3 linked regions of the Caenorhabditis elegans genome follow. The protein of the gene in region 1 interacts with the protein of each later gene in a pairwise test. Each region holds a gene or a part of one and is shown in the gene's direction. Other genes may lie near its edges.

The links.
Region 2: the proteins of ceh-28 (region 1) and peb-1 interact in a two-hybrid assay, tested with the Caenorhabditis elegans proteins (one large-scale study listed by BioGRID).
Region 3: the proteins of ceh-28 (region 1) and irx-1 interact in a two-hybrid assay, tested with the Caenorhabditis elegans proteins (one large-scale study listed by BioGRID).

The regions. Positions count from the first base shown.
Region 1 is NC_003284.9:13,072,095-13,077,874, forward strand, and holds ceh-28 (Homeobox protein ceh-28), read left to right. Parts: upstream 1-2,578; 5' UTR 2,579-2,587; coding exon 2,588-2,810; intron 2,811-2,873; coding exon 2,874-2,995; intron 2,996-3,412; coding exon 3,413-3,508; intron 3,509-3,552; coding exon 3,553-3,642; intron 3,643-3,818; coding exon 3,819-3,893; 3' UTR 3,894-3,998; downstream 3,999-5,780. UniProt on the Caenorhabditis elegans protein: Probable transcription factor that regulates neuronal differention, including synapse assembly of the cholinergic motor neuron M4.
Region 2 is NC_003284.9:2,208,450-2,218,254, forward strand, and holds peb-1 (FLYWCH-type zinc finger-containing protein peb-1), read left to right. Parts: upstream 1-2,601; coding exon 2,602-2,646; intron 2,647-3,792; exon of another isoform or gene 3,793-4,083; intron 4,084-5,008; exon of another isoform or gene 5,009-5,131; intron 5,132-5,186; exon of another isoform or gene 5,187-5,568; intron 5,569-5,785; exon of another isoform or gene 5,786-6,133; intron 6,134-6,356; exon of another isoform or gene 6,357-6,542; intron 6,543-6,780; exon of another isoform or gene 6,781-6,997; intron 6,998-7,180; coding exon 7,181-7,303; intron 7,304-7,370; exon of another isoform or gene 7,371-7,492; intron 7,493-7,501; coding exon 7,502-7,603; intron 7,604-7,658; coding exon 7,659-7,832; intron 7,833-8,189; exon of another isoform or gene 8,190-8,452; intron 8,453-8,655; coding exon 8,656-8,853; intron 8,854-8,908; coding exon 8,909-9,496; intron 9,497-9,550; coding exon 9,551-9,652; downstream 9,653-9,805. UniProt on the Caenorhabditis elegans protein: Putative transcription factor. Binds to specific sequence motif 5'-[TC][AGT]TGCC[GA][AT]-3' in regulatory elements of target genes such as myosin myo-2. May modulate gene expression, perhaps acting in opposition to transcription factor pha-4.
Region 3 is NC_003279.8:9,534,909-9,543,867, reverse strand, and holds irx-1 (Putative iroquois-class homeodomain protein irx-1), read left to right. Parts: upstream 1-2,901; 5' UTR 2,902-2,982; coding exon 2,983-3,003; intron 3,004-3,535; coding exon 3,536-3,997; intron 3,998-4,197; exon of another isoform or gene 4,198-4,337; intron 4,338-4,592; coding exon 4,593-4,952; intron 4,953-5,452; coding exon 5,453-5,663; intron 5,664-6,669; coding exon 6,670-6,749; 3' UTR 6,750-7,403; downstream 7,404-8,959. Other genes in the region: C41G7.7 (uncharacterized protein), read left to right, coding at 8,806-8,826, 8,873-8,959.

The DNA.
Region 1 (5,780 bases):
TAGAGTTCGTACTGCCGGGGGTATTTAATGTCGATCTTGTGGTTATTTAATGCCAATCTTCGGGTTATTTTAAGTCCTATAGAACAATAATTCTCGCTACTCTCCTTTCCAGTAATTCAAATCAACATATCAACAGATAATTGTGATGATCAATAAAAAAATAGTGTTTTTATACTCATTTCCAAGTCAAAACACCTGTGCAAAATGAATACAACAATGGTTTCTGAAAAGTTGCAAAACTTTAAAATAATTGAGAAAAATATTTTAATAAAATATGTTTGAAACTTTAATATTTTTTTTGGTGATTTTGGTTAACTCTGTATAACAAATATCGTTTGATTCGTATGCATAACATGAATGTGATTCGAAAATTTTTGTTATGTCTTTAATATTTACAGAGAAATGAGTTTTCATTCAAACATCACTCATTATTGCATAATTTGATAGTTAGTTTAGCGATTTTTAATGATTTAGTTACATTTTCTGTATCAAAAGAGGTTTCCAATTGAGATATACATTTTTTCCCTGCATCAACATAAAATCTCGTATTAAACTACCATTATATACAATTTAAGATTTACTGCAACACGGACAAAATTGAAATTTGCTAAAAGACGCTTCAGCCTTTTACATTTAAATGTGGTGTAGTCGAATGTTTTTTATTGTTTATTAGACTTAAAATTGCCTCGAAACACCAAATTTCATAATGAAATTCGACCGACTTGTCAATGTCGCAGCGGCTGAAAACAATTTATTTTGAAATCACCGTCATTTTTTGAGTATTCAATATAACTATCTGCGTTTTCAATTGCATTTTGATTTTTTAAAGTCGATGGGCGGCGAGATTTTTGAATTTTTAAAACCAAATTTCGCCGTCCATCGACTTTAAAATATCTAAATGAAGTTGAAAACGCAAGATAGTTACATTGTATACTCAAAATTTGACGGCGATTTCAACAAAAAAAATGTTTCCAGCAGCTGCGACATTGACAAGTAGATAAAATTTCAAATTTTAACTAATTTTATGTCATTTTTGAGCCGTCATAACTTTTTTTTCTGAGAAGTTTTCAAGAAGTTTCATTAGTAATTCGGTGTTTTCAAACAATTTCGAGGCTAACCACCTTTAATTTTTTTGAAATCTCTTATTACGAATATCAAAGGTTTGGACTAATTTTACCTCTTTTTTAACAACTAAATCGCAGAACCGTTATTGAGATCGACAGGCAATTTTTTTTGTAAACTTACGTCGCTCAGAAGCTGGGCAAAACTTGGGAGGTGGAATCTTTTTCTTTGATCCAAACATTGACGACGATGATTTTCGTTTTCGCAAACAAAACACCTGCAAAATACAAAAAAGTGAAAAAATACATTTAAAATGTACGTATTCTTTTCTACCGTAGTTGTTGAAGAACACAATGTCGTTAATTTTATACGTTTTGTTTCTGATTCGAAAATTGCTGTTTCTCATTCCAACTTTTTATGATTTTGTTTGAGAAAAGGGGAAAGAAAGAGAACGGAAAATTTTTGAAACGGTGTTCGATCCAATAATAAAATAGAATACATCGAGGGTAACCGCCATATTTTATGTCATATTTTATTTCACTAAAACAATCGATTATGAAATGAATATTTTCTTCCTAGTATAAGAAAAAGAGAGCTAATAACTTTTTGAGAACTGTGAGAAAACCAAAACCAAGTGCGCATTTTTAAAAACTTTATGCAAATAATGAATTTAACAAATTTGAACTAGCTTAAAACTTACCATTTTCAAAGTTTTCCAAGTTCACTAAATTTGAATGGATGTGTGTAAAAATCTAGGAGTACAAATGTCGAGCATAGATGCATTCAAATAGTAACCAAGGCATTCGACTCTTCATGTTTGTTTCTGTTTTTAGAGAATTTTTTTAAAACGTATATTTTTAATCTATGGAAATCTTGAAAATAAAACAGAAGTCAACGTAAGATTTTCAGGCGAAAGTTGTATACATAATATTGTACAAAATCAGTTGCAAACTCTTCTACATATATGATTAACCATACATATCATATTTATGTTGACAAGCGTGGTTCAAGCTAAAAACTGACTAGTGAGATATTGAAAAATCAGATAAAATATACATAGAACCCCATGTGTTATTACTCTGTTTGCAGTATTAATTATTTGAAAAAATAACATTGTAAGCTATCAGCAGATTTTTGTTTAATTCAGGATTTATTAACAGTTGCATAATTTCCAGTGAATGTTGTGATACTTGAATTTTCCGACAAGTCAATTCAAAAGCTGCAAAAATCGTTTGTTGCAGTCATTTTTCTTATAATTTAAAAATAAATAATCGTGCAGTTTTATATCTGTCTGGGTGACCCCTCTGTATTTAATTTCTTTCCAAATAAGTGCACACCAAGATTCCAACGAGCCACAAGTGGTTGAGCAGATGGAGGGAAAGTGTCAAATTCTTCTAATGGATAACAAACAGTTAGTGGATGATTTGGTGTGAAAATCCCTCCTATTTTCCTACTCGTGATGACACTTCTCAAATATCAAAACTTCTAGAGAGAACTTTTTCACAATTTGAAGTTAGTGGTCCCAATGCAATCTACGCAGATTTCATCTACTACTGTTATTTTACCAAGTGAAGTGATCCAACCGCCACAGCAATCTGCAGTTCCTTCAGAGTTTAAAAATACACTTCCGTCGCGTTTAAATCTATTTGAAGGTTTTGATCAGTCATTTTCTGAACTTACAAATCCATATCAACCAGTTATTCCGTTGATGCAGAGAGAATCCTTGTTAGGTGCAAGTTCATATTATAGTGAGTTCAATCGATATTTATTTAAAATAAAAGCTTGTTTGAAAAACCATTTGATGATTTCAGGTTCTCCAAGTCAAAATCAGAGATCTTATCAGAATCACCGTCAACATTCTAATCCAGATACTATCAATCTGAGATCACAACAGCAGAAGAGAAAACCGAGAGTTTTGTTCACACAACATCAGGTGTGTGGGTTATGATTTCCGGTTCAGGAACTTTGGGCTCTTCAGTAGTTAAAAATTTTGAACCACAGTAGTAACATTTAGTTTCAACACAACCAATTGTCTCCTTAGACGGTCTGGAAAATGTGAAAAAAACAACCAAAACTGACTATATACTGACTAATTTTTTCCATCAAATTCTTAAAAATCTCTGGAAAAGACACACGAGAGCATATCTAGATGAATCTTACGGCAGTCACCAACCAATTTTATCTTAAATCAGTTTAAAAAAAATTTACTTGAATGATTTCATTCTAGAATTTATTCTTAGAGAATGCAAAAATACGAATTAAGTAAGATGCATCATGATAGTCTATGTTTTTGTATACTTCACATGAGTTGTTTCATTTTCAACTTCACATCCAATGTCTACATTTTTAGGTTAATGAACTTGAAGAACGATTTAAAAAGCAACGTTATGTGACAGCCACTGAGCGAGAAGAGCTAGCCCAATGTCTTGGCCTCACAGCCACACAAGTAATGTAATCGTATTACTGTATGTTTTACATAATCATTTTAAGGTGAAAATTTGGTTTCAAAATCGCCGATACAAATGCAAGCGGTTAGCCCAGGACAGAACCTTACAATTGAGCCAGATCCCTTTCAATCCAGTGAGTTTAATTTTCCTTTCACGAGAGCTAAAATTATATATAAAAAATAGTGCTTGACCTGAATAAACACAGCTTTTACAATGAACGAAAAAATTCAAAACTCACATAAAAATTCGTGCGGAAGGTGTTTAACAATCGGAAAATTAAAAATTCAAAAAATCAATTGTTTGCTTTAGATGTTTGCATCAGCATTTCCATTTGGAATAAACAGCTTTGGAACTGCACCATCGTCTTCTTCGTCTGGATCATGATTTTTTTTTTCAATTTTTTCTTCATATTTATAGCTATTTTTCTTTTCAATTACACTGTTTAACTTTTGAGACGCATATTTAACAAAATAAATAAAAACACACAGAGAAGTAGTAGTTATATATCGTTACTAAGAAGTTATTATCTTTCTGCCATAGTACTACAAACATGAGTTTTTTCATTCGATACTTAAATTTGATTTCATGAATCAAACCGCCAACCAGTTGTTCACTCTTGATGAAAATGCTTCTAAATCGCCCTTGAAACACTTTTTCTGAGTTCCGAATGGTGTTGAAGTGCACTTGAACTTATTCAACTTCTCGCTTAACTAGCGGCAAATTGGCGAAGGGTTGACCGTAATAATTTAAAAACTAAAATCACAGGTTTATACTGTGTTGACTACATGCAGCCTTGTTAATCGTAACCAACAAAACGATATTTGATGAGATGTTCTTCCATGTATGACACGCTGGGATTATATTTCCGATTTTTAGCAATATAGGTCAGAAGTTCAGCATTTCGATGATCTGTAAAATATTTCTTTGAACTTCAACAAACCGTTGAAAGTTCGTTTGAAACAGAAACATAGTAAATTTGTAATCGTCTTTGTTTCACAGTTTACACCATAAATGTGTTTTTCGAGCCTTCCATATTTTTTCTAAGTTAGAGACTTTTAGCGAAAATTATTTAATATCACAATAGCTCTATTTTAATATTTATATATTTTTTTTATTTTGAACATTAAACGAGCGAATTTCGAGCAAAAAGAAAAAAATTTCTTTAGATTCCAAATTTATTTAAACTGTATAGAATACAACTCTGTTTCCCACCACTTTCTTCGTGTTTTATTTATTTTACCGTGCATAACAACAACAACAAAACATTCCTCTACGTAATAAACACGCTAGTCGTTTGTCCATATTTGTTTTATTATCTGCTAACTCAGAAAGTCATAACACCAATTTTCATTCGTTTATTTCACAACTCTACTAATAATATTGTAGCATTAACTGAATTTCTAACAGTTAGTTTTTAAGTTCAAAATGAACCCATTTCTCCTCTGTCTTATCTGTAATCTTTTATGTTGTGGGAGGCGATACCTATTGAGTACAATTAATTCTTTGTCATTATTTATAAACTTAAAAAGTATACACCCTTTTTGTTGATTTTTGAGTTTATGAAGAATTCGTTTGAATTAGTGAGAAGAATTAGAGAATTAAATTAGTCTTATAAATGTTTTCACCCATTCCAGACTTTTTAATGAAATTTCACACGTTTGTATCGTTTTACCTGGATGTTTTTCACTGCTGCAGAACAGACTCCCGGGTGTTATTCTTAATAAGTATATTATACGAAAATGAATATAAAGCTTTTTAAAATTTAGTTTTTATTAGCCGGTTAACAACAAACATGCAGTTCTTCATTTTAAGAGTTTTACATTGCGGGTTCCGTTGTAATATTTTCATATTAGAACTATATGACGTCTTGCATTTTTTTACAGGACTTGCATCACGATATATTTTTTGTATAACCTTTGATCTTTTTAGGGATGAATCTCCTAGGTGATAATGATGCCGGGTGACATGTAATGGTTTTCGGGAAGACATTTCAGTACTATTGCAAAACTTTTTTTAGTAGAAGCGTGTACCGAATGTTTTAAAATTTGGTTTATGTCCGTTTGAATAAGTTTTTTCGAGTAAGTATAGAGAGACTATAATAAAAACCACTACTTTATATTAAGGATAACGTGACAGTCCGGTGTACATGCTTCCCTTTTTACTGCAGTTTTCCGTTTACTTGATGTGCTTTGATATATGGTTCAAAGTTATCTAGTTCTTATTACACATGAAAAGTTCACACATTGTTTTCTCCCCACTCACAATTAAAAT
Region 2 (9,805 bases), about 11 Mb from region 1:
GTTCTAATGTCATGTCACAAAGTTGACCCAATTGTTTTGTAAAAAGTGATTAGAGAAAGTGTGCCGTCAAGGGTAATCAGTTTGTAGATTACGTAAGAACCACACAGTTTTGCGGAAGATCGAGAAGATTGGGAAAAAAGTATGTCAGCACTTAACGTCGGGTGGCAGGTATGAAGAAGTACAGAATTCGCGAAAAACCCCTTTGAAGGACATTTGCGGTGGCGGAGAGTTAATTTAAAGGTCTTCTTTTTCTCAACTGGTTGACCCCCCATACAACACTTTCATTTCCGTCAACTACAAAATAAGGAAATTGTTTCACGTTACTGTCATTTGATCGTCTTTTTCTTTGCATTGAAGCAAAGCGGAGCGGCTCAGTGAGAGCCTCCCAACAAGGAAGTAAAATTGAGTGGGAAAAGACCGTAAGACGAGGACGGCGCTCAACTTTGTGCAAGCCCTGTCTTCTCTACGTTTCGTTCGACGCACGGTTTTGGCACAATTCAACCTGGTGCGGCTCTACAAACACCACGTACGTATAGTGGTGTGCGCGTTGCGGAGAGCCACAGCAAAATAAGTAAGCGAGAATAATTGAGAAGACAAACAGGGGCCCCCTCCCGAGCATAGATGGCCGCCGAGCCACACAGTGATGACCGGCGGCGCTGTCACGAAGGTCCACACCAACGGCGTCTCGATAACACTCTCGGCGCAAGTCAGACCACAAATCGGAAAGAGGTGATGGAAAAAGGTCGTCGCTCCATATTTGCCTACCAGATGCAAAACCGTATAGTTATTCAATTTATGTTTGCCTGTTTATTGGCTCGTCACTACTTTCGTTTGTTGTTGGGCGAGTGACCATTTGGATGCGAAGGCGAAATCGAAACCGTATCCACCCCGTGTTTACTGCTACTTGAAAGTTCTCATCCAGACGGATTCCGTGTTTGAGTGCGTGTGGAGGCCGGAGCAAAATTTCACAGACACAATGAAACAACCTTGTGTAGTAGAAACAGTTTTGTAATTTGAAAAGTTTTTAAAATCAGACAACTGAGATTATATCTCGATTATACAAATCACTTGCTCCGGGTTTTTTTCTCTAGATTTCCATCGGTTTTGGGACTGCACTGGAGATTTTTGGATGAACATGTGAAAATTTTTTAAATAATGCACAGGCCGAACAGTCACACTTTGAAAATAAATTGATGTGATCTATGCAGATAGTTGCAAATTTCAAAAAACTCTACCCCTGAACACTGTCATTCTGCCATGCCATAATTTAGTTCAGTCGGATGAATGACCTTTCGTTGGCCAATTGGATGCGAAACACTGGACGGCACCGAATCGGCACGGCAAGTGGTACTGACAAGCGACAACAAAGACGGATAGACCATCAGTTAAATCAAGATAAGAATTGCTTGTGAACTTTTTCAGATATCGCATTAGGTCGAGAAGTTAATCAAATCATTGCTTTTTGAAGACATCACTGAAAGTGCCAATATTTTAGTAATTGATATTTACACAAGGGACCCCACTGAACTCATCAATTTTAAAATGTGATTTCCAGTTGATGTAAGCAACCAAGAAAAAGGCATATTACTTCAGGTTTTTTGCACTTTTATTTTCCAATCTCACAAATGTGGGCGTATGATGAGCGGCACACTCACGCATCCAAAAGTTTGCCGGATTCATAAAGTAGTATAGAAGTGTCTCACGAGCGTGGAGGGTGGCGCTGGCCCGAAAAAAAAATACGCTGAGACTGTATTGGAAAAGTTTAATCACGTATTTCGCTCGACTCGTCATTTATTTGAGCCTTAGTTTGTGTCTCGCCGTTTTTGGTTTTCCGCCTCTCCCTCATTCCCCCCGGTCTATTCCGAATTTGCCGCGACCCATCACAGGTCACGAACTTTAGTGCCCGCACGCCGCGTTTTGTATCTGCCTGCGCATCTACACGCTGACATACTATTTGTTTGATCCGCGCGGAACTGCCACAAACAACAACAATCTGCGTCCGGCGAAGACGTCGTCACCATATACCCATCTATTGCATCCAACTCATCTCTTTCTTGTATTTAATTCCTTTTTCACACACCCACACACACACACACCACACCACAGGTTGCAAACCATTGTATAATTTTCTGAAAAGCACTGTAACCAATTAGAAAACGATTTTTCAAAAGTGGAGCAGTGCTACATATATGATACCAAAATAATCAAATTTTGTATTAAAACTTTTAAAAAGTCAAAAAAAATCGTTTGAAATGTTTTTTTTACTGACAGTCAAAAAGTGGAAATTTTTAGAGTTTATGCCTCGAACAAAAACTGAGATTTTTCCAATTTCCAATTCCAGTTTGACACACATAGTGCAACTCCAATTGCTCATTATTTTATTAGTTTATTCTTACAACCATCACCCTTTTCCCAGATGTATTTCGTACCATGATGTGTGTATGTGTGTGTGTTAAAAGGTCATTTCAAGCTCTTCGTGAAAGGCACCCTGCTCAGTTTGTGCCCTGTTATGATCAATATAAATGTGTACTTTATTCCAGGGCAACGAAACGAGTAAACACCGAGAAAAGGAAGCATTCTGGATATTCCAAACTGGGGCTGATGATGACAACAACAGTTCAAAAAAATTGCTGGCGGCTTGACCAGGTGAGTGACCAGTTAGATTTGTTCAGCGACAGGCGTTTTCAGTCGGTGGTTTGAGTTTGCACAACTGTTTTCTTGTCCTTTGCGTGAGCCAAGGGGTTTGTGCTGAGTTACCCTCTATCTATTTGTCAGAATACGATGTGATGATCAAAACTTTAACATCATGCATTTTCTTGAGATCCATAAACCCCCCCCCCCCCCCCTCTCGTGTGCTTCTCTGTTTCTCGGTTTGTTCTCCTATTCACCCCGTTCGTTTCAGTGACGTGTCGTCGTTTGTTTCTGCCTGCCAAATATGGCTACGGGGGGGAATATGAATTAAATTGACTTGGTATCTATCATTCCATTTTTATTTTCTGGGAGATGTCAAGAAATTTTGGAGACGAGCGGTTTTTAAAATTAATGTAGTTTTTTTTGTTGTGTTCTCACATTTTAGTTTTCTAATCGGGGAAATGTTGGAGTAAATTGTAATTGATAGGTACACATTTACTTATCAATGGTTCACAGTTTCAGTTAATTATCAGTATTCATATGCGTTTTTATCTTTTGTATAATTTTAACATTCTACATTTTGCAACCAAAAAGCTCTCTATGTTTCTCCTTTACGGGCGGAAAGTAGTGCTGGCTTGTACCATTGCCAATCAGCTCTTTGATTAAAAAACCAACATATCAGTTGACAGTACCATTTTGCCCCTGCTCGACTTCAATGGGCCGCGCCAGATGAGTCAGCGACCTTTGCACACGAGCCCGGACAGTGCTAGGCGCCGGGGCATGACCAATGCGCGAAAGTTTTGTTGCGTAACCGCATGTTTATTGTCCGCTTGCCAATCGTTTTCACTTTTAGTGATACTTGCAGCTCGCCCTCGTCGTTATATTTTTTTTCTGACCGTCGACGCTTGCTTGCCTTCTCCGAAAAGTTTTGATATAAAACTAGCAGTATTTTTCGTTCTGTGGCTCATAGTTTCTGACGTCTTCCTCTTTATGACTTTACGCGGAAGAAAAGGGCAACATCTAAAACCACCCAGTAATATAAAGTGCGCGGTTTCGAGGGAACAGTTTCGAGAGAAAGATTAAGTAGATGAAGGCAGAGAGAACCAACATTTGCAAATATAGTACTAGGTTGGAGGAGTGCCTCGGCGCTGCGATGCCTGTCTACAAGTTTGCACTTGGCTGGTCAGTGGCGTTACGTGCCACTCTCTGTACTGCGCGAGACGTGGCCAAACTGATGCGAAGCACAATATATACACGCCCCGAAGGGTCATTGTTTGCCGTTTGCCCCCCCCCCCCTTTGCGGAAAGGCCTTTCGTACTGTACTCTTGATGTGTGCTTCCTTCCGGCCGGGCACCCGCCACCGTGGTTGTCACAACTCGGATGGCTCCCACTTCCTCCACTGTCGAAACCGTTCGGACCGCCCATTTCCATTTTGGCTCACGCCGGGCTCTCGCACACATACTTTCCACACTTCTACTGTCAGTGGTGGCAACTGGAAGCACTCCATAGTTGACTAATGACCTTTCTAACCTTGTTCCCTGTACTAGAGCTATCAATTGTGTATCATTTCTCTTTTACACTATTTCATGTTTGAATTTTCGAACAGGGGGTCAATCTCTGAGGCAGGAAGGGTGGAGCACCAGTAACGCACTTTACTCGTTTTGCCTTGGCGCGTTCATTGTTCCATTTCACAATTTTTCTCCTAATTTTCTAGACCACTTCAGTTTTTAGAAGCGCTAGATGTTGTTTCATGAAGTGACCAGTCTTGCGTGTTCAGTTTTTTTCTTGGCGTAAATGCCCACTCTTCTTCTTTTCTCCTAGCTGCCCCTTCTTCACTTTCTCCAAATCAAGGTTCAGCTATAGAAAGTAAAATCGCCTTTCACTCATCCTGGACAAGATTGACTACGAGCTTTTGCAGCTTCTAAGACTTCTTCGAGAATGGGGGGGGGGGGGGGGGGGGCGCGACGTGAAAATGAAGGGCATTCATGGATCCCGTAGTAAATATGTGATATCATCTATACCAATTTTCTGGATATCGAACTAATCATTGACGATTGCAAAATTTCGAAAAATTTGTAGGAGAGAAACGATTTCATCTGACCGATCCGAGACTGGCACCCCTTTGTTCTAGGCCCTCTCCCGATTGCCATAGAGATGTCCATCCATCACCTTTCCTGACAACCCCAGATGGTGGCGTATGTGTATGTGTGTGTTTTTTGACTAATTGGAAACGAAAAGCCGACTCCAGACTTGTAATTTTGCTCCAGCAATGTTTTTTTTCCAGATCTTTTCAAATTGACGAATCTGCCTTTAAACGTTTCGTGATAGACATAGAAATTGACATCCGGTCAAATAATTAGATGAAAAAACCTTCCATATTGGGGGCAAAACGTCCAAGTGAGAGTGGATCGGCGACTGGCGCCAAATTGCTGCTGCCGACGCAGTTACCATACTTGGATGTCGGACAAGGCGGATTTCGAGAGTTGTTTTTATGTACACACGCCTTTCACCTCTTTGCCCCTTGTGATCTTTTTTGCATTCGTTAGACGCTTCTTTCATTTTCGTTCCTCATCACCATCATCATCCACTACTAATGGTTCAGGGCACGGCGTATGCGCGCGCGTGCCTCACACCATCGGATCGCGGATGTTTTGGCGGGGTTGGCTGTTCATTTAGGGGGGAGGCGGCCGATTGAAATGAAGAAGATGTTGTGGATGTAGAAGTAGGAGGAGATGGAGGAGGCAAAGGCCTTCTCCCTCGCGGTTCTTCGTGGCAGGCAGCCTGACCCCGTTCCTTACTGAACCGCCCCCCCCCCCCCCCTCTCACTTCCACCCGACGCCGCCATCGGAATTTTAGACTACCAGTAGAATATGGATAGCGGAAGGTGTGAAACTTCAGACTGCGATTCTCTAGATTCACGCTTACTGTATTTCTACCTTACTACTAGTCTTGTTACGATTACCTTCCTAATTTTAACGTTTGATATGTTTTCACCTTCGGCTTCTATACAATTCCCATCATCTTGAAATAGGTATTATCAGCATGTAAGCATGCCAAACAAATATTTTTGTTGTCCAGTGGTGCTCGACCGTTCCAGGATCGGTATTATGCAATTTTTCGCTGAACCAAGCATATACATACTGATAAGAAAAATGTTTGTTCTGTCGGCCACTGATTACTAGACACTTGAATTCTGACCGCCATAAATGGCGAATCGTACGCGAGAAGTGCTGACGCCGTCTTGCGCCGATGTCCAATAGGACCTTGCACTTTGCCGATGTTGCAACAGTAATAGTTTCCATCAAGGTTATGCGGACTAGTGCCACGCGATTGGGTCAAGCCGTTGGCTTCCGCCTTTCTTATCAAAATCTTCGCCCTCAATTACCTAATTTTGTGGTTTTTTTTTTCTCTCCCGAATCCATCAATCCGGTGTCAATCCGTGTCTTCCGCGCTAGGTCATGCGGGCGGCGACGGCGCGGCCCTTTTTTCGGTAATCGTCCTGGCATCCCACACTTTCCATTGGCCCGGATATAATAACTTTTTGGAGACCCCCTTTCTGGTGCCTATTTGCAAAACTTGCTTCATTTTTGGTCACTTTTACTCGAACTTTCTCTTCGACGATGACCCCCTCGCCCGCCACAAAAACAAAAAGTGAAACTTGGAACGGTACTCGTTATACCTCATGCCTTTACTTTCTCGCGCCACTTCCTCGCAGTATTCCATGGATGGAAAAGCGGTCAAAAAAGTATTATGATCAGGCTGGCGGAAGATAGATGGAAGGAATTGTGGGTCAACGAAGTCAAAACACCATTACTCGATAAAAGTCGCCGCATGTTGCGGAATGTGTGCCATCGAAACTGGTTACTGTATTTCTTTTCCGAGAATTTTGCTTTGCCCCGCTATCAACTTTTTGTTCTATCTTCTTTAGAAATTCCGAATTAAATAATGATAATCATATACTTCTGTATTCTTTTTAACCCTTCTTTAGTCTGTTTTTGAAATTTCGACCAACCACCTCAACAAAATTTACCAAAATCAAAAAAAAAAGTGAATGTGTCAATCTCGTTTCAACGCATGTTTCTCGCCAATTTCCGTACAGTCAGTTGTGCCTCCTGCCGGTCACTCATCCTCTATCTCTTCGCCACTCTCGTTCTCGCGCACCTCATCCAAATAACAGTATTCGGTGTCTTAGTTGGCAGCCGGTTGGTGCCTGCCACGATAGGTTATCAGTTCAAATGGCACGCGCCTCTCTCGACTGCCCCATCAGCTGATTTGTCCGCCCCAAGCAACTGATAGTGCCTGGGGCGGAGAGATAGATGAGAAAAAATCGTCTGATTCTAGGTGTCTGAACCTCGCTCGCTATCCAACAGCAGGTCCGCTCGTTTTTTTTGTCACATCTCTCTTCGTTGGTCATATCTCTTTTTCATCATCTGTCTAGTTTGAGTTCAATTTCTAATTCATCAGAGGTCATTTGGTTATTATTATTCTATTGCTCCCATCGCTATTTTTTTTTGCTCATTTGATTTAACACATCAATTTTCCTTTTCAGACAATGCTGGGTCTTGAAAAGCCTGGATCATCAGACATTTCGTCTTCTTCCACTGATACTTCCGCCATTTCTCCGATTAGCGTGAGCAGTATGCCACTATCACCGGACAAGGAAAAGAAAAAGGTAAGTACTTTGAGATAACTGTTTGGACTGTCCGAAGGGCAAACATAGTTTTGAAAGAGAACGTTTGCATAGTTGACCGGTGTTTGTTCAGACGGAAAATTTAGGGCTTCCTTCCCACACGAATTTCAAAACAACCTGACACCGGGAAACACCGCCTTAACTGGCGATTTTGGGCCGATAATAATAGTTTTTTTTCAGATCTCATTTGTCCGATACAATCCAGACATTCCACAAATTGTCACATCTTTCAAAGGATATCAAAAACTTATGTATCAAGGCTACCGATATAATATTTATCAGGTATCATAGACCATCATTCAAGTGGTGACTTTCATCACGAGTTGTTTTTTTTCAGATTGCTCCAGAACGTAACTTCAAGTCTTGGAGATGCGTTTGCGCTAAGAAAATGCATGATGGGCAGTGGTGCAAATGCCGAGCTGAAACAACCATGGATAATAAAAACGCATGCACGAAAGGATCACACAATCACCCTCCAAGACACCATGTCGCTGAGATCGAATTTATCAAGGTACGTGGCGAGATTACACAGTCACAACTGTCTAGGTTAAGAGCTAGTGCCCTTTGCAATTGGCGCAGTGCCAGATCAGAGCACCGATATCATAAGGTTGAATTTGCCAGCTGACTCTTTTTGTTCCAATTGGTTCCTAGGCTTGGCGCCTTCAAGTTCGAATTTCATAACGTCATGTGGAACCTCTAGCTTTTGAGAGTGTCTAAGGGAATTGTGTGTACGTGCAAAAAAGATAACTTTTTTTTATTTCGTAACCCTTAAAAATTCACTTCATGGCACCAGTAGATGGAAAAAAAAGATCGTCGGCCCTTTTCGAGTGTGTCAAAAATAGTTTGTGTATACAAGTTAAAAGTGCAACGAGATGCGCTACTTTCGGCGCTGGGTGGCGCCGCCGAGTGCCTAGGTCAGTTGCGATGTTGGTCAGGTCAAATAAAACAATCTGAGCGTGGCACGGTTCGAAACATCGGCCACTCATGCGCGTGCCGCAATTTTGCCCCCCTCCTCCCTCCCATGTTGATGAACCGCGAATAATTCGCAAACAGATCCGCGCATTGCCAAGGTCAAGCCATGGATGGCAGGCACGCGGCAGCGCGCGCGGGGACAGGCTGGGCCATACCACCCGACTCGTTAACCTAGATGCGCCAATTTTCCCAAATCTATTGCGTCGCTGCCATTCAAATTGACGGTACAAACTTTTTGCGAATTCTTCCGAATTGGGTCATCGGAAGGGTCAATTCTGACGCAATGTAAAGTGCATCGAATTTCAAATCCTGATTCGACCTTTGTAGATGCAGTTTAAAAATACAAAATTATATTATTTCAGTCTCAACTATACTCTGCTGCCTTGGAAAATCCGGACCACGATGCTGGAGATCTTGTGAATCAAGCTAGCATGTACTTGAGTGATGGAGTGATGTTTGATAACAAGGAGAGTATAAAGAAAAGCCTAGTTGTTGCCAGAAATAAGGATGGAAAACCAAAGAAGCCAAGAAGTAAACGAATGATGAAGTTTGAAGTTGATGTAAGTTTTCGGTTAGAGAAAAACTAGTTTATTAAACTGTAATTTGTAAATTCAGGACGATGACGAGAATGAGTACAAAATGCCTAAACTGGAGACTGATATTTCATGCTTTTTGCCATTCATCAATAATATGGTCAAAGTTGAGCCACCATTCAGCCATACACCGACTATTCAAATTCCTCAACCTATCCCAACTCCTATCCAACATCAACAACAAGAGCAAAGCAATTTACTTCAGCCTGCAACGTTGAATGGTATGAACAATCCATGGATGGGAATGGAAGATCACCTCGCAATGATCTGGGCGGCAAATGCTATGTTGAACCCAGGCCTGGATGTACTTTCCACTATTGCTGCACTTTCCAAGCATCAGCAGCATGTCCAAGGTCCATCGCCTCAACAAGCTGCAACGGCTCCAACAACTGCTTCCCTTTCTTCAAATCTTTCTGTCAGTAGCTTCACACCGCAAATGCCCAAGGAAGCTTCCATCGCAATTCCAGCTCCACTTCAGGTGCTTAACTTGAAAGATCTGAAACCTCTTCCACCACTCGCGAACATTCAAACGAGCCCAGTCATTCAAGCAGCCAATCTACTTTTGCCAGTAGCCGCGTTGAAAAAAGATTCGAGCACTCAGACCACAGAGGTAGCTTACGACACTCTCACGTGATGACATCATTGTGATTTTTTTGTTTTTCAGGAAATCAAAGTATCTCAGTGCCTGACTTCTGGCTGCGGGTGCCGTGTGATCCGAATTTGCTGCTGTGATGAAGGAGTATGCCGACGAACAGCAGCATGCTAAAAAATACTAAACATCATCTCGCCGGTCGAGCATTCCAAACACTGTTCCAACTCTACCAACTGCCTTTCTTGGGTCTGGTTACCCGCTTTCCGTTGTCATACCCGCGTTTACCTTTCTACCCCCCTCTTCAAACTAGTCATGTTTACTTCAACC
Region 3 (8,959 bases), on another chromosome or scaffold:
TAATGCTCACTTTCCCATCACTCTGACTGTGTTAAGCGTCGATAATCTGAGACAAACATATCGTTAACACGGATTGTCAAGTGTTTGAACATTTCTTTCCTCGCGCTCTTCGTGTACAGGAAACATACACAAAACACACAATTTCACTTTTTTTGCGCCCCTCGGCTCCATACATCGTTTTTCGACAACGGCAATTCATGTTCCTTTGCGCAAAAACAATGTGATATTAGATTGTTCTCCCTCTCGTAAATACCAACTTTTATGAATATATATCGTCCCGCGTATCAGTCTTATCTCATCAATTCCTACTACAGGTATTGACGATGTTAACAGTTGGGTTACTGTTCCACGTATATAACATGACATAAATTTCCATATTATATAGCAAGATCAGATTAAGATATATTGTTGTACCATCTGAAATATCCCACCTGCTAAAGTTCTTCCAGTTCATGCCCCTTTTTGTAGACACGTGTCATGATGTATGAGTTGATCGATGTGTTTTGGTACAATGGCAAGAAGGTGTCTCTACCAGCTGTTAGAATAAGAACTGTAATTATAGATATGGCAATGTATTCAAAAACACTCTCGTACTTATATTATGGGTATCATAGAGATTATTGCAACTTTAATAGAGTTGTATACTGGCAGACAATTTTTCTATATCTGCTCTTGGTTAAAACAAAGTAATAATCCGAATGCTCGGTATTCAAGTAGTAAATTCAATATAGAAACTTTTCATTTTCATAAAAAAACGCGATGAAAAGTTTATGATAGCAGGTTTTGCTCTTGATTTTTCTGGATTAACGGTCTTTAAATTTTTTTAGTGACAAAGCTATAAAAAACAACGGCGGCAAAGAAAATCCCTAAAAATTATACCAAATGTTTTTAGCTTGAAGCTTTTAAACTTTTAAAAGGGAAAAGCCTTGCGTGTTTGGATCATTTCAAGTTTCTTCGTTGAAAAATACCCCATTTATGAGTTAGGAAAACCACTATTTTGGAAGTTCTTAAAAATCAACAAATGTTCTTCAATCTCTTGGGTACATTCAACTTCTTCTTCACCGTCGAATTCAACTCTTCTCCCGCTTTTTTCGATTAAACGGAACGCTTAACTTTTCCGTTAATTACCTCCAAGTATTTCCTTTCTGCAACCACTACCGTATTCCATGTATTTAACAAAAAAGTGAGCAGTGTTTTCACAAAAAACAACACCGCTCTCTGGAAAGCACCAAAACCCATTAACTAGTTGCTTCTTCTACTTCAATTCCACAGCTTCATCATCTTCTGGCTCCAGCTCCTCATAAATTGTGCCGCGACCTCATGTCTACACCCTCCTACCTCCCGTGTTCCTCCCCCGGCGATTGACTCCGCCCAATGACTCCTCCTCCATCGCTTTCTCATCATCGTTTGACATCAATCTCCCTACCATACACCTTTTTGTCTTGTTTGGCTCATATGTACCTACATCTTCCTGTATTAGTACAAACTTCCGCCATTGAACTTTTTTTGTTGCAACTTTATGTTACTATATATGTGTTGTTGTTACATGTTGTAATAACTAAATGATCGAATGACCCAAAGAGAGATGTTAACACAATAACTGACACAATAGTAAATGTATTACACCGTGTCCTCTTTTTTTACCTTTTTCTTCTCCATTTTCTTTTTCTTCATCATCGTCATCAGCGCCATCGTTGGCCACTTACTCTCGCCGGCGCCCCCTATCCAGCAGCTACACTTCTTTACACCCCGCTTCGGACAACAAGAGACATGCCATTTTAAACTTCTATTCTCTCAATTCTTGTCCCCCTACAAACCGTTCTGACCATTACCTAATTGCTTCTACGATGTATCATTCTTGACTTAAGTTCACTGATTTCAGCTTCTTCTCCTTTGTCCTTTTTTTGTTCGTGGCGCCATTGTGTGTTCGGGTCATTTGATAGTACTCTCTAGATTTTCCGTCGTTTTACTTTTTAACTTTCAAATGTTTATACTTTTTTTCTCTTCATCCTGCCAATATTTCGGATTAAACTCTATGCAATGATCCTTCCAAAGCTTCCTCTTCCCGTTATTTGCTTCAATTTTCAGTTTCCATTCGTGAGCCAGCCAGCAAATTTACAACTTGTTTGCTCTTCGTCCTTGTGAATACATTTATTGAGATTTTTGGTTCTTGTATTTCTTAATTTTCATTCCCAAACTTGATAATTGGTAGAGGTAGAGAGGTATTAGGTTCGAAAGATTTTTTTTGCACAAAAATAACAATTCTAGAATCAAACTTGGAAATAATAACACTAAACAATGAAATAGTAAGATATCAAAACCATCATCATTCTTACAATCATTAGCTGGAACGGTTAATTGTTTATCTTTCAATCTCTTTTAGTTGCCATATCATCAATTTGTTTTCTTTCCGTTCGATTCTTGTATCCTTCATCATCATCTTCTTCTACTTCTCTTTACTCCGATTCTTTTCCGTTTCTCTTCGTGAATTTCTCCGGTTTATCTTGTTAAATCTACGTGTTCGCACGTGTTTTTTGCGCTTCTTCAATTTCTTTCCCTACTCTCCAGGCCCCGCCCTGTGGCTTCCATGTCTATTGGATGGTGGGCGGGACTTGAGAGAGAGAGAGAGACACACACGGCCCCGGGCGGGCATCTGCAGAAAATCGAGATTGCTCAACAAGTTGTTGAACATAAGGTCCCACATAGTTCTACATCATCTCAATTTCTTCAAGAATTATCAATCAAACCTTTTCTCTTTCTCTTCTATGCTTATCACTGAATCGCTCCTCCTTTGCTCCCTCTTGATTTCGTCGCCTCTCTGCCTCTCTCTCACTCTCTCTGTCTATCTTTTTCAACAAAAAACTGCTCTGGAATTATAACTGATATCAATGTGTTCTTCAGATCATAAATAATCATACTTATCAACTATTGTTTCTGCACTTGTACTGAGATCAACACATCTACTTCTACTACACCATCACAATGATTCCTATTGCCAATCAGGTCAGTTTTTAAGCGATAAGTTTAATAAGCTAAATTATAATTTCTATATTCTCAAGTAGTGTTCTTACATTTATTTATTTCATTTTTGTCCTTCTTGACACTTGGAGTCAACTTCCTGCTCTTTCCAATTGCCATGTTAACCTTGCACCGCCACTGCTTGGCGGTTTATATCTCGGTTGCCTTCAGCTTTATCAAAAAGTGTTATACAACCAAAACATAGAAAATTATTTTGCAAGTAAATTGTCCGTTTGAAGTTTTTTAATAAAACCACAAAGAACTGAGATATAAACTGTCAAAGTGAAGGAAGAGGGGGGTGCAAGTCTAATATAGAAAATTGCAGTTGAGAAGTTGTCAAAGCTTGGACAAGGTTTTCGTTTTCGATTCCTACCAATTTTTACATAAATCTTAGATTAGACAACATTTGAACACAGTCTCAAAATACTTCCTTCCAAAAAATTTAGATGCCAAATGTCAGATTTATTCGTTTGGATACCTTCACTTCACCTGACTAGAAAAGTAAATCCATTTCCAGGTCAAAATGGAAGAGCCCACAACACCACAAACAACGACTCCTGCTCCACCCACTTCAGCTCCGGATGCACTTCGCGGAATTCTGCCACCAAACCTTTTAGGTCAATTTCATTTCCATCCTGCCATGGCTCAAGTTCTCGCTGCTCAAGCTCAAGCCGCCGCCGCCGCTCAACAAGCAACTCTTGCTGGCTTCCCCGGAGTTCCGATGTTTCCACATGGAATTCCAGCAGATCTGAAACCAGAAATGTTATTAGGTGGAGGGCCAGGACCGATGCCCATGTTCTTCAGTGATGCTCATCGTTTATATCATCCATATGGTTTAGATGGAATCAAGAAAAGAAATGCAACACGAGAAGCAACTGCACCACTCAAAGATTGGCTTCATTCTCATAGAAAGAATCCATATCCATCAAAAGCTGATAAAGTTATGTTGGCAGTTGGTACAGGAATGACACTTACACAGGTATGTTGTATTATTTCTTGTTTTGACAACAATTAGTAAATGCAACACTGTGAAATGATTTAATAGCCGTAATAGCCTATTACCAACCGTAATCTCGTAATTTACTCCACAATATTTGCTCAATTTATTAGCTCACACGGGATTTTAGAGCCGCCTCTAGTCATCAATTACAAATACCACAAAAAATATTGTTGTAAAATGTAGTAGACAGTGTTTCCCGCAGTGTTATTGTAACATTAGCCACTCACCGGCCATCAAACCCCGGGGGCAAATGTCTCCTTTTTTGACCGATGCCAAAAAAAGAGGGGCGAGAAACAAAAGATGTACAGAGGCGATAAGCGATGATGATGACACCTCGTACCCCGCTTAATTAATGTGTTTCGAGAGACATTCTTTACACAATACGAGAAATGTTTCAAACCAAATAGGGCTACTACTTGTTTGATTTTGTTGCAATAGACCAACAACACACAACCTTGGCGCCAAAAATTAGATTTTAAAATTGTTTGAACCAAAACTTTGAAGTTATTTTATTAAAATAAACTCTAGCCCGAAAAACAAAGCCGAAGCTTGAAATTTATATTTTTAATTACAGGTCTCGACATGGTTTGCTAACGCCAGAAGACGACTGAAGAAGGAGAACAAGATGACTTGGTCACCACAAAATCGACGAGGCGATGGTTGTGATGACGATGAAGACGACGATGATGATGACATGAACCGTCCATCAAGCTCAACATCCATAAATTCCGAAAGAAAAGGAGAATCCCTATTCGGAAAGCCACATCTAGCATCACCAACGCCTTCGGGAGGATCTGGAGGATCAGATGAGTTGACAACACCGAAGAAAGAACTAGTATCCCCAATTCCAAATGATGATTCTGAAAGTCCGAAGCGTAAACCAAAAATGTGGTCGATTGCCGATGTCACTTCAGATGACGATTCATCAAAGAAGGTGAGAGCAAAAAAGTTTAGATCATAAAATACATTGTACAGATTTTATAGTTTTCCCCATCTTCCCTCTTATTCTAACAGTTTTACGAAATGGACTTAAAAACTATTATATGTTTAGTAGGGGCAAATAAAGAGTCCTCCTCTCCCTTCATCTTGTTCTGCACATTTTATAGAGATGTAAACTAGTATGAATCATTTGTATGTGTGTATGTGCAAACTTGTGAGGTGAGTGTGAAGCAGCCGACAAAACTGTGCCGCTTTAACAACAAACATGATTGAATGATGGTTTTATACATTTTCATAAAGTACATTAAGGAATTGATGGGAGATCAGGGGGTCATATTGTAAAGTTTAGGCATGGGTTACTGTACTTGGAAGATACATTGAAGCATACAGCAGTGCCTTTTGGCAGCTTATATTTTTCATAAAGTTGTTAAAGTGAAGTAATTTAGTTCAAGATGATGAATAATGGTAACCCCTAGCAAACATCTTTTTATTTAGGATTCTCCACCATCATCAGACGAAAATCTATTAACGGGAAGCTTGTTCCAAAACGCAATGAAAAAACAAATGGAAGTAATGGCACGATTGGATCCAACTTTGTTCCGTCACACAATGCACCCATTCATGTTCCAACTTCTAGCCCAACAAGCTGCTCAAGGGCAACAACTTGCACTTTTGGCACCACAAACAACTCCTCCAAATGAAGCAGGTGAGGTGAGCAGGTGAATACACTTTTCTTACATTTTGTTACATGGCAACCTGTCTGCTTTTTCTTATCATTCTTTTTTTGGGTATTCCGAATGATTGACAGCTAGTTGAACACCGTGCGTGCTTGTACATGAACAAGAAAAGTCGAAACGTAATCCTCTTAATTTTAAAGTTGTTATCCTGTCGTGACGCTCAGTTTTTTTGCTATTTAATGCACTAATCATCCCATATTTACTGATAATAGGTGTATGTTTTCTGATACACATTATAAGGGGAAAGTTCAGTAGCTACAGCTTCTAGATAGGCATTAACAAAAGAGGGTCTACACTTAAGTTCTAGATCCTTTTCAAATGTTTTAGCTCAGAAAGAGGAGTTCTTTTCTATGTAATAATTTTGTTCGAAACGTCAAAGGCAACGAAAAAGGGCTTAAACTGAAGTAAGTGTCTCCTCATTGACCCCACGGATTAGTGTGCTCGTTTTTCTAAACCGCGTGTTCTTCGTCACTCAGTTTTTGTCCAAAAAAGGAGCGCTGCTCCCGGAGTCAAGTCACCGAATGATAAATTGCCGATTTGATCCGTTCGTATAGTTGATGGGAAACACTTTCTTATAACTTATTGAACATGTAAAAGCAATTCTAGTTGACCAATATGGGGAAAAACTAGAAAGCCTAGTCTTATTTGAAACGTTGAACTGAAATTTCTCAGAGCATTCCTTCAAATACAAGCATGTCAAGCTGCTCTAAATCCGGATTTTACATTATTTTAGTGATTTTAAGGTTGTTTAGATGCAAAAAACATTCTGAAAGCTTTTTGGAGATTTTAATAATTTTCAAAAAATCAGATCATTTTTCACACAACTCAATCTTAAAACTTTCAAAAACTAAAAATTTCAAAAACTTTTGAAATATAGCTTAATTGACTTGGTGCCTAGGTTTATTGCAATATACAATATTTAAAAAATCTTTGAACAATTTTTAAGCCTTGATTTTAATGAATAAATAATTTCAGGTCTGAACTCTCAAGCGGAGACGTCGACGCCATCTCCAGCATCTTCTCCAACGTCGTCTCCACGGTCCCACCAAGAGTAGAAACCCCAGCTTATTAAGTTTAATTTTTTTAAATGAATATTGTACTCTCTCAAAGTTTCACCTCCTCCACTAAGAACTCTGAAATCGAGAAAATATGATATAAACAGCGGGTCTTTGAATTTCATTTTTTTCTCCATCCCATTTAAGTTTCGATTATTTTGGTCTCTCTCTATGTACAGTACAGTATTGTCTCCCAAATATTCACATCCCATCAAAAATTTCATTCGGTTACTGTAGCACCATATAGGCTTTTTCTTTCTCATTCATTTGCTTTTTTATGTTCTTTTAAACTTTATATGAATTCCATGACTATGAATTTTTTGTCTCTCTTTCTCTATTTTTTCCCCCAATTTCTCCCAGTTTTTTCTCACATTATTAACATTATTATTATTTCAATTCCACACAATTTTTCACAGGATGCATCTAGTTTTTGAGCTTATGATCGGTTTTCTCAATTTCCCGCCAATAATTGGAGTACTTTAGAAACAATTTTCTTTTTTTCTTGCTTTTTCCCACCAATTCGCTTCAAATCTCTTCACGCAAACCCACTTTTCTTACAATCCCATCTCATTTCTTTGACAATTTACAGTTTTTTGTGAGAAAGATACAACAACCTGCACGCATAATTTAGAAAATGAAGAAGGTTTAATATTTATTTCTTGAATATATTTTAAGCTAACAAAAAATCATGAAAATGGATATACATTTAATTGCACAAAATACTGCAACCATTTCAAAGAATTGCAGGCTGAATTAGTGACAACATTTCGGTTATCAAGAACGTGCACTTTTAAAGTAATTTTGAGCATTGCTTCATGTTCAAAAACATAGAATTTTTAAAACACAAATGGTTATAGAAACAAAATTAAAAACGTATAAAACTGGTTGATGATATATTTTTTTTGGTCGACTGTCAAATTATGATTGGTAAAACTAAGTTATCACCACATTTTGGCTGTAAATAAAAATTTCTGAAAAGGTTCACAATGATATTTAGACGTTTTAGCGTTTTTTTTTTAAATTTCCACTTAAAAATTCAATTGAAGTCTTTTTAGTTTATTTTCCCATTACTGTTTTTTGCCGACCTCTTGAAATTTAGGGGATGTGTAAATGTAGACATATGTACATTTTGGAAGCTTTTTTTAAAAAGAAATATCATGATTCTTAAAAAATCTGATAAAATAAATAAATTTCCACTTGATAAAAAAATTCCAGATTATGTATTGTCTTGTTAAATGTTTTGACCTACTATTTACAAAGCGTAGTTTCAAATTAATGTGAAAAATGAATCAGTGAAAACAAAAACAGCAGATTTCATTCATTAGACACACACACACACACCATATCTCTAAAAACAAGGAATTACATGCATTTTCTCTTTATTTTTCCACATCTCGGTGACCCATGTAAACGCCTAATTGAAAATGAGATACGACAACGACGTCTAAACAAACATCGGTGAAGCTTAGAAAACAATGAATTTGTGTTGTCTGGATTCTTGGAAAATTTGGAAATGAGACAAAACCAAATTTGCCACCTTTATATTTAATGTTCCACATTTTAGAACTGTTTCAAAAAATATAATTTTTAATCGTGGATTCTAATTTCAGATAACATAATGCAATAAAGGCAGAATGTGCTTTAAATCGTTTGAAATAATCGCATTATTCCAAAATACAAAAAAAAAAGAAAAAATATTTAGGCACAATACCGGAATCTCATTTTGCATCTTTGAAAATTAAAAAATCTTCTCAAAATGTTTTCAAATCTTTAGTTAACTGTTTTAAACACTTGCTATTATCAATTAAACTTGTAGAAATCAATACCTGAAATACCTGAAAATGTGGTATTTTTCTATGCTGTATTTGCTTTTATCCTTCAACATTTCAAAGTTTCTTTCTTTTTTCCATTATTCATGACTATACAATTTGGAAAAGCATGAGCAAGTGAATTGTCTCTATGGATACATCCTGCGCATTTGAGCACATAAAATATTTTTCAAGAAATCCTTTCACCATTCTTTCTTTTTCATTATTTGTTCAAAAACATCTCAAAAATGTCAAACGTTGACCGATATGTAAGTTACCCGCTTAATTTAATTTTTACTAATTTTAAATTTTCAGGATGTTCACCGGGATGGTATTGAGAAAGATCGAAAAAGGTCTCGAAGCCGAAAACCTCATCAAAATGGTCAAAGCCAGTCAACTATG